Arabidopsis thaliana: one gene and its partner. The protein of the gene in region 2 interacts with the protein of the main gene of each other region in a biochemical or structural test. Each region holds a gene or a part of one and is shown on either strand. Other genes may lie near its edges. The genes, in order: CLV1 and CLE2.

Region 1 (6,100 bases), on a different chromosome or scaffold from region 2:
ATCTGAATGAAACTCAGGTCTTTCCAAGTTAATCAAGATTGTGGCCTTGAAAGTTTTGTGATTTAAATTGTATATGATTCTTAATGAAGAGACTAAAACAGAGTAATGAAGGATCTTGTTTCTCTACCTTAATGAATTTGTGACTAATTTGCCTTGTCTTCTTCTCACACCCGTTTATAAGTTGTGACTATGTGCCTTGTCTTCTTCTCTGAATTGCTCTATGAATGGAGGTAAGAGTTATGGATAGAATTAGCTTCACAGCATCATCCTCATCTTGTGGGAAAATGCACATTATAGAGGTTGAATTCTGTTGTTCATGAACTTTTAAAGCTTCTTGGTTGTTGATTTCTGTGAATTTTTCCGGTTTCTTAGTTTATGTGTGTTTTGCTTCAAGAGCAGAAACTACAATGTTATGACCCTGAGGTGATTTTCTTAGCTCGTAAAAATATGAGAAGTGAATGACCCCCAAGAACTCAATGAAACTGGTCATTATTCCAAATGCAGAGTACGAGTCCAATCTCTTAATCAACCATTAGTCTGTTGATTCCGTGTTTTTTTTTATCAGATGTGTTTCCTTTTTATTTTCCGAGCCATCTGCTGGTAAATACTTTGTAAGTAAGGTCAAGATTGCAACATGACACTGTCGGAAGCTAACACAAACCTGAATTTAGATATGACCCTAATTCACATATTCTAAACAGTCTAGACTTAAATCCAGAGGTCAAAGCTCTCACATTCTTTTATTTTATACACTCTGAACGGAGAATTAGCTAAAGTTTAAAGCCATCAAGCAATAAGCATATTGATTACATTACATACTCGAGATAATAACACATAAAGAGGTAATATACAAATTGAAACACAACAAATATACAAACCCGAAAGTATTAGAAACCATAAATAAGAACACCCAAAAAATGATCACCACATTTCGCATCTTATTTTCATATTTATCTTGCTTGGGTCAGAACGCGATCAAGTTCGCCACGGATTTAGGAGGGTTAGTGAGCATGTGCACAACTTCCCTCATCGTAGGCCTTGCCGCGGCTTCTTCCTCCACACACATCATTGCGATCTTGAACACATGAATCACACTTGTCAACGGGTAACCAGTCAACCTCGGGTCAACAATCGCAACAACAATAGCAGCATCCGATGGCTGAGTTATCTCCTCTTCCGTGTTCCTCACCCACCTAACTATATCCACTCCTTCTCCAAATTCACCAACAGGTTTCTTCCCAGCTATTAACTCCAACAAAACCACTCCGAAACTATACACATCACTCTTCTCGTCCACTTTCAAGGTATATGCATACTCTATGCAAACCAAAAACAAAATGATAATCAGAACATATATCATTTTGGTGAGTACTAATGTTGTTGACATGTAACTAACCTGGGGCGATGTATCCATAAGAGCCAGCAATTGAAGACATACACTCAGAAGCAGCACCATCAACTAAGAACTTAGCAAGCCCAAAATCAGCAACATGGGCTTCAAAATCAGAGTCCAAAAGAATGTTATTGGACTTAACATCTCTATGCAAGATCAATGGTGAACAATCATGGTGAAGATAACACAAGCCCTTTGCAGCTTCCACGGCTACTCTATGTCTCGTCTCCCATTGAAGATGACCACCTTTAGATCCATGCAAAAGCTCTCCAAGGCTTCCATTAGGCATGTACTCATAAAGAAGGAGATTCGTATCCTTGTTCGCTACGTAACCAAGAAGTCTCACTATGTGACGGTGGCGGATTCTCCCCAAAGTTTGAATCTCCGCCGTGAATCCATGATCGCTCCTCCCGGTCCCACGGCCAACGAGTCGTTTAATCGCGACGTCTACGTTGTTTGGCATTGATCCACGGTAGACAATTCCAGCTCCGCCTTTACCGATTATGTTCTCTTCTTTAAGACACTCGAGAACGTCTTCAGATTTGAAATCTAGTTTCTGGAAGGCGGTTAGTTTCCAGGCGAGAGATTTCTGGTTCTTCTTCTTATTCATCTGACGAATCGCTACACTGATTAGGATCAAACCGGTGATCGCTGCGATAACCGTGATTACGATCCTTGACGGTGAGAACAACGCCGTGTGATTGTGATCGGAGGTTTGTCCTGGCCGTGTTGGACAAGAGACACGGTGAGGGAGACAGAGGTAAGTGTTTCCGGCGAAGGAAGTTTCGTTGAACACCAAGAATTGACCACCGAGTGGTACTCTACCGGAGAGATCGTTGAAAGAGAGATCGAGAGTTGTTAAACTCGTCATGTTTCCGATTCCGGTAGGGATTGAACCGGTTAATTGATTACCGGAGATATTTAGAGTTCCTAAGTTTTTCACGTTGTTGATCCCTTTAGGGATTTCTCCGTTGATTCGGTTACGGCTGAGATCGACGGAGATTAAAGTTGAGCAGCGAGAGATTGAATCTGGAATACCGCCGGTGATGTTGTTCGCACTTGTGTTGATCCTCGATAAATGCTTCAATTCGAAGATTTCTCTCGGAATGTTGCCGCGAAATCGGTTCCGATCTAAGAATAGAGTCTGTAGATTGGGGAAATTACCAATCGCAGGTGGAATCTCGCCGGAAAACCAGTTGTTAGAGAGGTAAATCTGATCGAGAACATCGCCGGACATCGTTACCGGAAGTTCACCGGAGAAGAAATTATCAGTGAGTTCGATAATCGTAACTAACGGTAGATTGAAAAGCCCCGCCGGAACAGTGCCGTTGAGAAGATTCTTAACGATTCTGATTTTGGTTAAGGATTTGCATTTACCAAGCTCTTCTGGAATTGGACCAAAGAAGAAGTTGTTAGAGAGAATTAACATCTCTAATTTCTCACCTCTGCATAAGTCCTTGGGGATAAGTCCGGTGAGATGATTATCAGAGACATCAAGCTTTATTAGATTCCCGTTCCGGCCAAGATTCGCCGGTAATTGTAACGTGAAATTGTTCTCCCATACTTCGAAGACTTCGAGTTTTGGTAATTCTCCGATGGCCTCTGGTATTTGTCCGTAGAGATTGTTTCTGAAGAGATTGATTAGAGTAATGTTTCCGAGATTGATGAAGCTTTGAGGGATTTCTCCGGTTAACTGATTGATTGATAAATCGAGAGATTTCAAGCTGACTAAACCGGAAAGCTCCGGTGGTATATGACCGGTTAAGTTGTTGATGTGAAGAAACAGAGTATGTAGATGTTTCAGGTTACTTAAACTCGTCGGAATCTCTCCGGTGAGTGTACAGCTCGCCATGTCGAGGATCTCAAGCTTTGTTAAACCACCGAACTCCGGTGGAACACCACCGGTGTAGCTGTTGTAGTAGCCAATATACATTTCTCTTAAGTTCTTGAGGCGGGAAAGAAACGCCGGAGATTTACCGGAGAGTCCAGCTCCGTTGAGACCAAGATACTCTAAGCTTTGAATATCTCCATAACTCTCTGGAATCTCTCCGCTGAAGAAATTTCCACCGAAAGAGAGGTATTTAAGCTTCTTAAGCTCTGACATCTCCGGTGGTAACTTACCGTTGAAATTGTTGTTATAAGTGTCAAGAACTTCAAGATCAACCATAGCTTTTAAAATCTCTCCAGGGAATGTTCCAGTAAGGTTACCATTGTTGGAGATATTCAAAACCTTGAGAGAAGTTAGACTCTTCATCTCCAATGGTAATTCACCGGTGAAGTTGTTGGCAGCTAAAGTTAGATTCACCAAATGAGTCAACATCCCAATCTCTGGTGAGATTGTACCAAACAAAGGAGTGAAGGAGACGTTGAGAGAGATAACACGAGCATCGTCGTCACATGAGACGCCGGAGAAAGAACAGTGAGCATCCGGAGAAGATGAGTGAATCCAGTCGTGGAGACCGTGTCCTTTAGGACCAATCATGGAGGATTTGAGATTGAGAAGAACTTCCATGTCAGTGTAAGCGAAACATGGTGAGAAAAATAGATACAGATGCAGAAACAGAAGATGAGTCTTCAAAAGTCTCATCGCCATTTTTTTAGTGTCCTCTCAGTGAGAAAGAGCGAGAGAAAATAATAAGATAGCGTGAGTGTTATGCGATAGGACACAGAGACATGAACAATGGCATATTATGAAGAAGAAGATGAAGAGAATCGATGTGGTACTACTGTTCTAAATACCGTAAGACTTTGTGAGCGAATATATACTTTTATGTGACTTTACATAAATATTGTTATTATTAAAAATAATGCGCCAAAATACTTTTATGTGTTCATTTTTCAAATTATCTTGTAAATCTTGTTATGGTTACTGTCTTAAGTAGATTTATCATTTGTGAATAGAGAAATTTTACGAAAATAAAAGATAATTAAGGTACAATTGATCAGAGAACCATCTGCTGATCTTGCAGGTAGATAGATACAAACTATACGACTTATGGTCAAACACATACGTCTCAGTCTCTCATTGGCTATTTTTACATTCGATTCTTTTATAACGAGTGATCAATAATATTGCTGAGATTGTACTTTCAAATTTGGTCACACACTATTCAAACTCTAAAATCACTGGAATTACACTAGAAAGGCAGTTTTACTGGAGTCAAACTTTAGAGTTTTTAGTAGCCGCCACTACTACACTTATTAGACATGGAGAAACGGGAACGTCGTCGTTTTCTTCTTCTCTGATAAGTCTTCTGACACGATTTGTTTTGGCTTCATCAAACAAAAATCAATAGATAAGAGGTTCACGGCGTTTTAAATTTAACGGTGTAGAGATGCATCTCTTCTTTAACATTGACAGATCTTTATCTAAACGGCGTTGATCTGACCGTTATAAATGCTATAGACAGGACATAACGTTACGTTCCCTAGAGCCTGTGGTTTCTTCTTTCTTTCTTCTGTCGCCGTCTTGTCAACGGCACCAGTTATATAATCCGACGGCGTTTATAGCATCGTCGTCACGTGATGGGGAGAAAAGAGGAATAAGAAGACAAGGAGAGAAGTAAATGGGCTTTAATTAGAAGTAGGGCCTATTTTTCTAATTGGCCCGTATAGAAAGTCTGTCTGTGTCCTTTTCCTAAAGAGACAAATTTGCCCCTTGTGGTTTTTTTGGCTTTAACTTCCAAGTCAACGCTCTTTCTTGTATTTTGTCTTCTCACTTCTCGTTCATTCATACACTCCACTCACCGGTCTGTCACCATACAGACCTTCTGCTTCAAGGTCCCCACGCTCTATGTTCATATTTTACCTTTGTTTCGTTCGTGTGACTCTCTTGAAAACATTAGGGATTTATTCACTTCGGTCCATTTAAGATTTGATCGTGATTAGTCCAAAGTCCAAACCGATCAAATTAATAGCAACTGCCGATACCAAATTATATTCGTTTTGTAATCGGTGATTCAGAAAAAAGTTCAATGTATATAAATTCGTTCGTAGTGTTGATATTAGGACAAATCACTAGTTTGAAACTAAAGATACTAAAAACTATTTAATGTTTGAAGTTTTAGGTTTAGTTGTTAATACTTTTGGCTGAAAACGTGTCAATTTTGTTGTTAATGATGGCAAAACGAATAGCAAAATATTCCTAATGAATTAGGCCGAATGATATGATTAATATGCTTAACTTACATAAGTGAATCTTTCTTAATTATAAGTAAGCACCTTAAAGCAGTTTTTACAAGATCGATTCTGCCACAATCAAAATCGATTCTATCAACAATCTAACAATAAAATAATAATAGTTGTGAATTAATGGTCTGCCGTTATACAAGCACTATGGTTCTTGGCGAATATATCTTCATCCCGCTAACAATTTTTTTAGTTTGATAGAAAAATATATCAGGTGCTTTAGCAACAAAAAGGGATTTTAATCTTTAAAGAAATCTATACACTTGGGGTTGACATACACTTGGGGACCAATGTTCTATTATTATTGCGGTATATTGGTATAAAGGTCCTTCCTAAATGGCAGCGAATTTCTCATATTAATAATCTTTTGTGCATTCTCTTTTAGATATTATCTTATGATATACATTAGATTAAGAAGTAAACGCTGAAAAATATGCATACTTAGCAACAAATAAATGTGCTTTTTTCTCGTGTCTATTTGGTTTAACTTAAGTGGATTGAGAATCAGATCAACAGGTA
Region 2 (3,446 bases):
TTTAATTAGTTTACTTTTGATATGCATATGATTTTCATCTGAATCTGTCTTTCTCACTCATGAGTCATCATGACATTTCATCCATGGGACGATCGTAGTACTATTAGGTGTTTGGTTTACTGTAAAAGCATATTTAGTTAAAGATTTCTGATAGATTATTTTGCAACTCTTTCTTATAAAAATCGATGGAGCAAACGCTTTAAGTTAAGTAGGCATACATATAATCAACATAGACATGTTGAATTTTGAAAATTTCAAGTTTACACAGTTTGATTAAATATGTAAACCGTAAACTGCATCGATTCATAGATATCAATATTTTACAATGCTTTACCTAAAAAAAAAAAAAAAAACGAAGTAACATGGTTTCGACGACCAAATAACTGAATAAGTCATACGGGATAACGATCAATTTAAAACACAAGTAATTATGGGACGAAATCTTATATATGTATGCAATTGACCATGTATCTAGATCGACCACATCTAAATTGTACGTTCCATTCTACTGTTTTGTCCGTTAAGAAGACACACGAAATTATACATATTTGTTTGTTTAAAACATACAAGTCACAATCGGCATATAAAACACGATGTATCGTAAAACAGAATCATGTGTACGTACATGCAAGACCATCTAAATCAACGTCGTCATACGTACCGCGTTGCTATAGCCTATATGTATAGTAAAAATTCAAAATAATAATCAAAAGTAAAAGGTGAATAATAATGATACAATCTGAAACGTAAAATCACCAAATTTAGAATATTTAGTTAACGTACGATAACGTATCAATAAAACTGTAACTAATTTTGTAGTATTATGACAAACGTAAATTCGCAAATTTATTACAAAAAAGAAAAACAGCTTCGTTGCAACCAAATTATTGATAAGTAATAAACATGTCGAAGAAATTGAAAAACACAAAATAACTAGTGATGTTGTGGGTCGGGTCCTCCTGGGCTTAACCGCTCTGGAGATTTCCCATGGCTACCCGCAGCTTGATCATCCTCTACAGTCGGACTCGTAGCCTCGATAGAAGGGCTTAGGCCTCTCACCTTCACCCCGACCCGAGCCCCCTCAAGAGGGCGGCTTCCAGCGGCGATTGAGGATAACAGAAGAAACAACAAGAAGCAGAAAGTGAAGCTTAACTTAGCCATTACAGATACAATTAATTAGTTTCTGTATATATAGAAAAGCAATAGAAAGAGAGATAGATTGTTCACGTGGTGTGTATGAGTGTATATGAGGAAAGAAGAGATCTCATGAGGGTTTCTATTTATAGAGTTTTATTTGAATTCTAGTAGTGCGCGAGATAGGTTTAGCTAGCTTAAGGCTTGAGTGCAAGCATGAGTTGTCACCAAGGACGGTTTTTCTCGTTGCCTACATTTTTCTTCATCACCAAAACTTCTATAATAATCATATTTAATCTGTAACCAGCTGAGCAAGTGACTCTTGCGACTTGCAAAATGCAAATTGGTACTTTGAATAGTACAAAGAATGATAAAGATCGCCGCATTACGGTGTACTACACATATTTAATACGATCGACATCTTAATATATAGATATTCTGAATTGTGTTAGGGCCTAGGATTGGCCAAGCCCTTTTTTAGACTCATGTGCATTCCATTTTTAAACATTTGTCGTTGATTTGTTAGGTGGCCTTGTCTCTTGGATGGATCTTATGCTAATCCCCCCCCCCCCCCCCAAAAAAAAACTTAGTGAATATATTGCAGTGATTATTATGCATTTTCCAGTGTAAATCTATAGAGTAAATTGAATATTTTATCTGAGATTATATCATTTTGAACATAGAAAAGTTCCCAATCGAATCTTTTTTGAAAGAAGATCTTTTGTCACCGTGTGTTAGTAATTGTCAAACCCTTATTGAGCCATGCATGCAATCATCCATTTAAAAAACTCGGTGATTTGTTAGGTCACCACGATTACGAAATAAAAAGCAACTAATCTCGAAACAAGTATTTACACGATCAAAAGTAAATAAGATTTATCCCTGAAATATGGATTGTTCTATCCATTTATCCCCGAAACAAGAAGGATAAAGTTCTATCCATTCATATACGATCGTTTTACGTTAGTACATCATCAAAACTAAAAAAGATATGAATCTTATATACGTATTTACATTGGACCGTCAAAAAGAGCGAGATAAGAGACGGCTTCAAGTGCTAATTATAATCACATAATTATATATGTCGTAATGTCGATAAAGCAAAATTATTCAATACCAAACCTTACACCATTTATAACTCGACCGTCCCTATCCAGTGACATTATATATTAGTATATGTATGCGCATAGACTAATATTATAATACGTGTGTCGTGTGAGAGAGTTAATAATACGAGGTAATGATAATGGACGAGGAGGGTGATTCATGAAAGTCCAATAAGATAGAAAAGGAAATATGAAAATATGAAGTCAAAGGCAGAGTGCACTTATGGGTTTTGTATTGGTTTAGTATTGGTGAGTCGAAGGTTTTCACTCTTTTTCTATTTACACATTTGACTCATCAGGAGATTTCATTACAAGAAGAATATTCAAAAAAGTTTCAACCATCGAGAAAAGGTATTATAATCTGTAATACCTTTTGTCAGAACGTGTGGATAGTAGTGTAGTTTAAGATTCCACTAAGTCGAGGTTAAGTGATATATTTAAAAGGATAAGTTTCGACCCAATCACACTTCTTACTCTGTAATTATGTTTTAACTGATGAAGCAGTACTTATCCAAATCCGTATTTCATTGTAAATGGTGTCAGCAAATTTGTTTATCCAAAAAACTATGCATGCAACACATCAGTGAATACATATATATGTTACGTTTATTTTGACGGTGCATTTTAGTGGTGACATATAAAAGGAATATACTTTTTTTTATATAAAAAGTGATATTCAGTGTTTTTTTTATTTCTGTGAACAATTATATGAGATCAGATACCATAAGTTTGGGAAAGAATTAATTGTTCTGGAGATTGAAGAAAATGCTCTTATCCTCTATGTGTCAAATGCCACTCTCTTTATTGCGGTCTTCTCTGTTTTGCATCAGTATGACTTTCGATATAAATCCCATTTCTAGATAAACTTGTTATTTGACTATCACTTGTTAAAAGGATAAACTTGATTTTTTTTTATTTTTTTTTAAGTTATTAGGAGTTGTCGAAAATAATCAAGAGGGTTTTGTGTGTGTTTAGAGTTAATATTATCTGAAAGAAAGATAAAATGGTCCAAATTTTATATTTTCAATTCGGACCATCACTATTATTGGACAGGCCTTGATCCTAAAGACAATTTCTGTAGCTGGATTGTCATTGCAATCACTAACTTTATTTTCATCTCAAATTTATAGTTAAAAACTGTATATAATATTCAGACCCATTCGTTGAAATCAGAGATATAATAATGATACCAACGTTGAACAAATA

The links.
Region 1: the proteins of CLE2 (region 2) and CLV1 interact in a test that uses a peptide from one of them, tested with the Arabidopsis thaliana proteins (one study listed by BioGRID).

The regions. Positions count from the first base shown.
Region 1 is NC_003070.9:28,462,667-28,468,766, forward strand, and holds CLV1 (Leucine-rich receptor-like protein kinase family protein), read right to left. Parts: upstream 4,306-6,100; 5' UTR 3,987-4,305; coding exon 1,397-3,986; intron 1,318-1,396; coding exon 965-1,317; 3' UTR 678-964; downstream 1-677.
Region 2 is NC_003075.7:10,209,807-10,213,252, reverse strand, and holds CLE2 (CLAVATA3/ESR-related 2), read right to left. Parts: upstream 1,677-3,446; 5' UTR 1,162-1,676; coding exon 934-1,161; 3' UTR 801-933; downstream 1-800.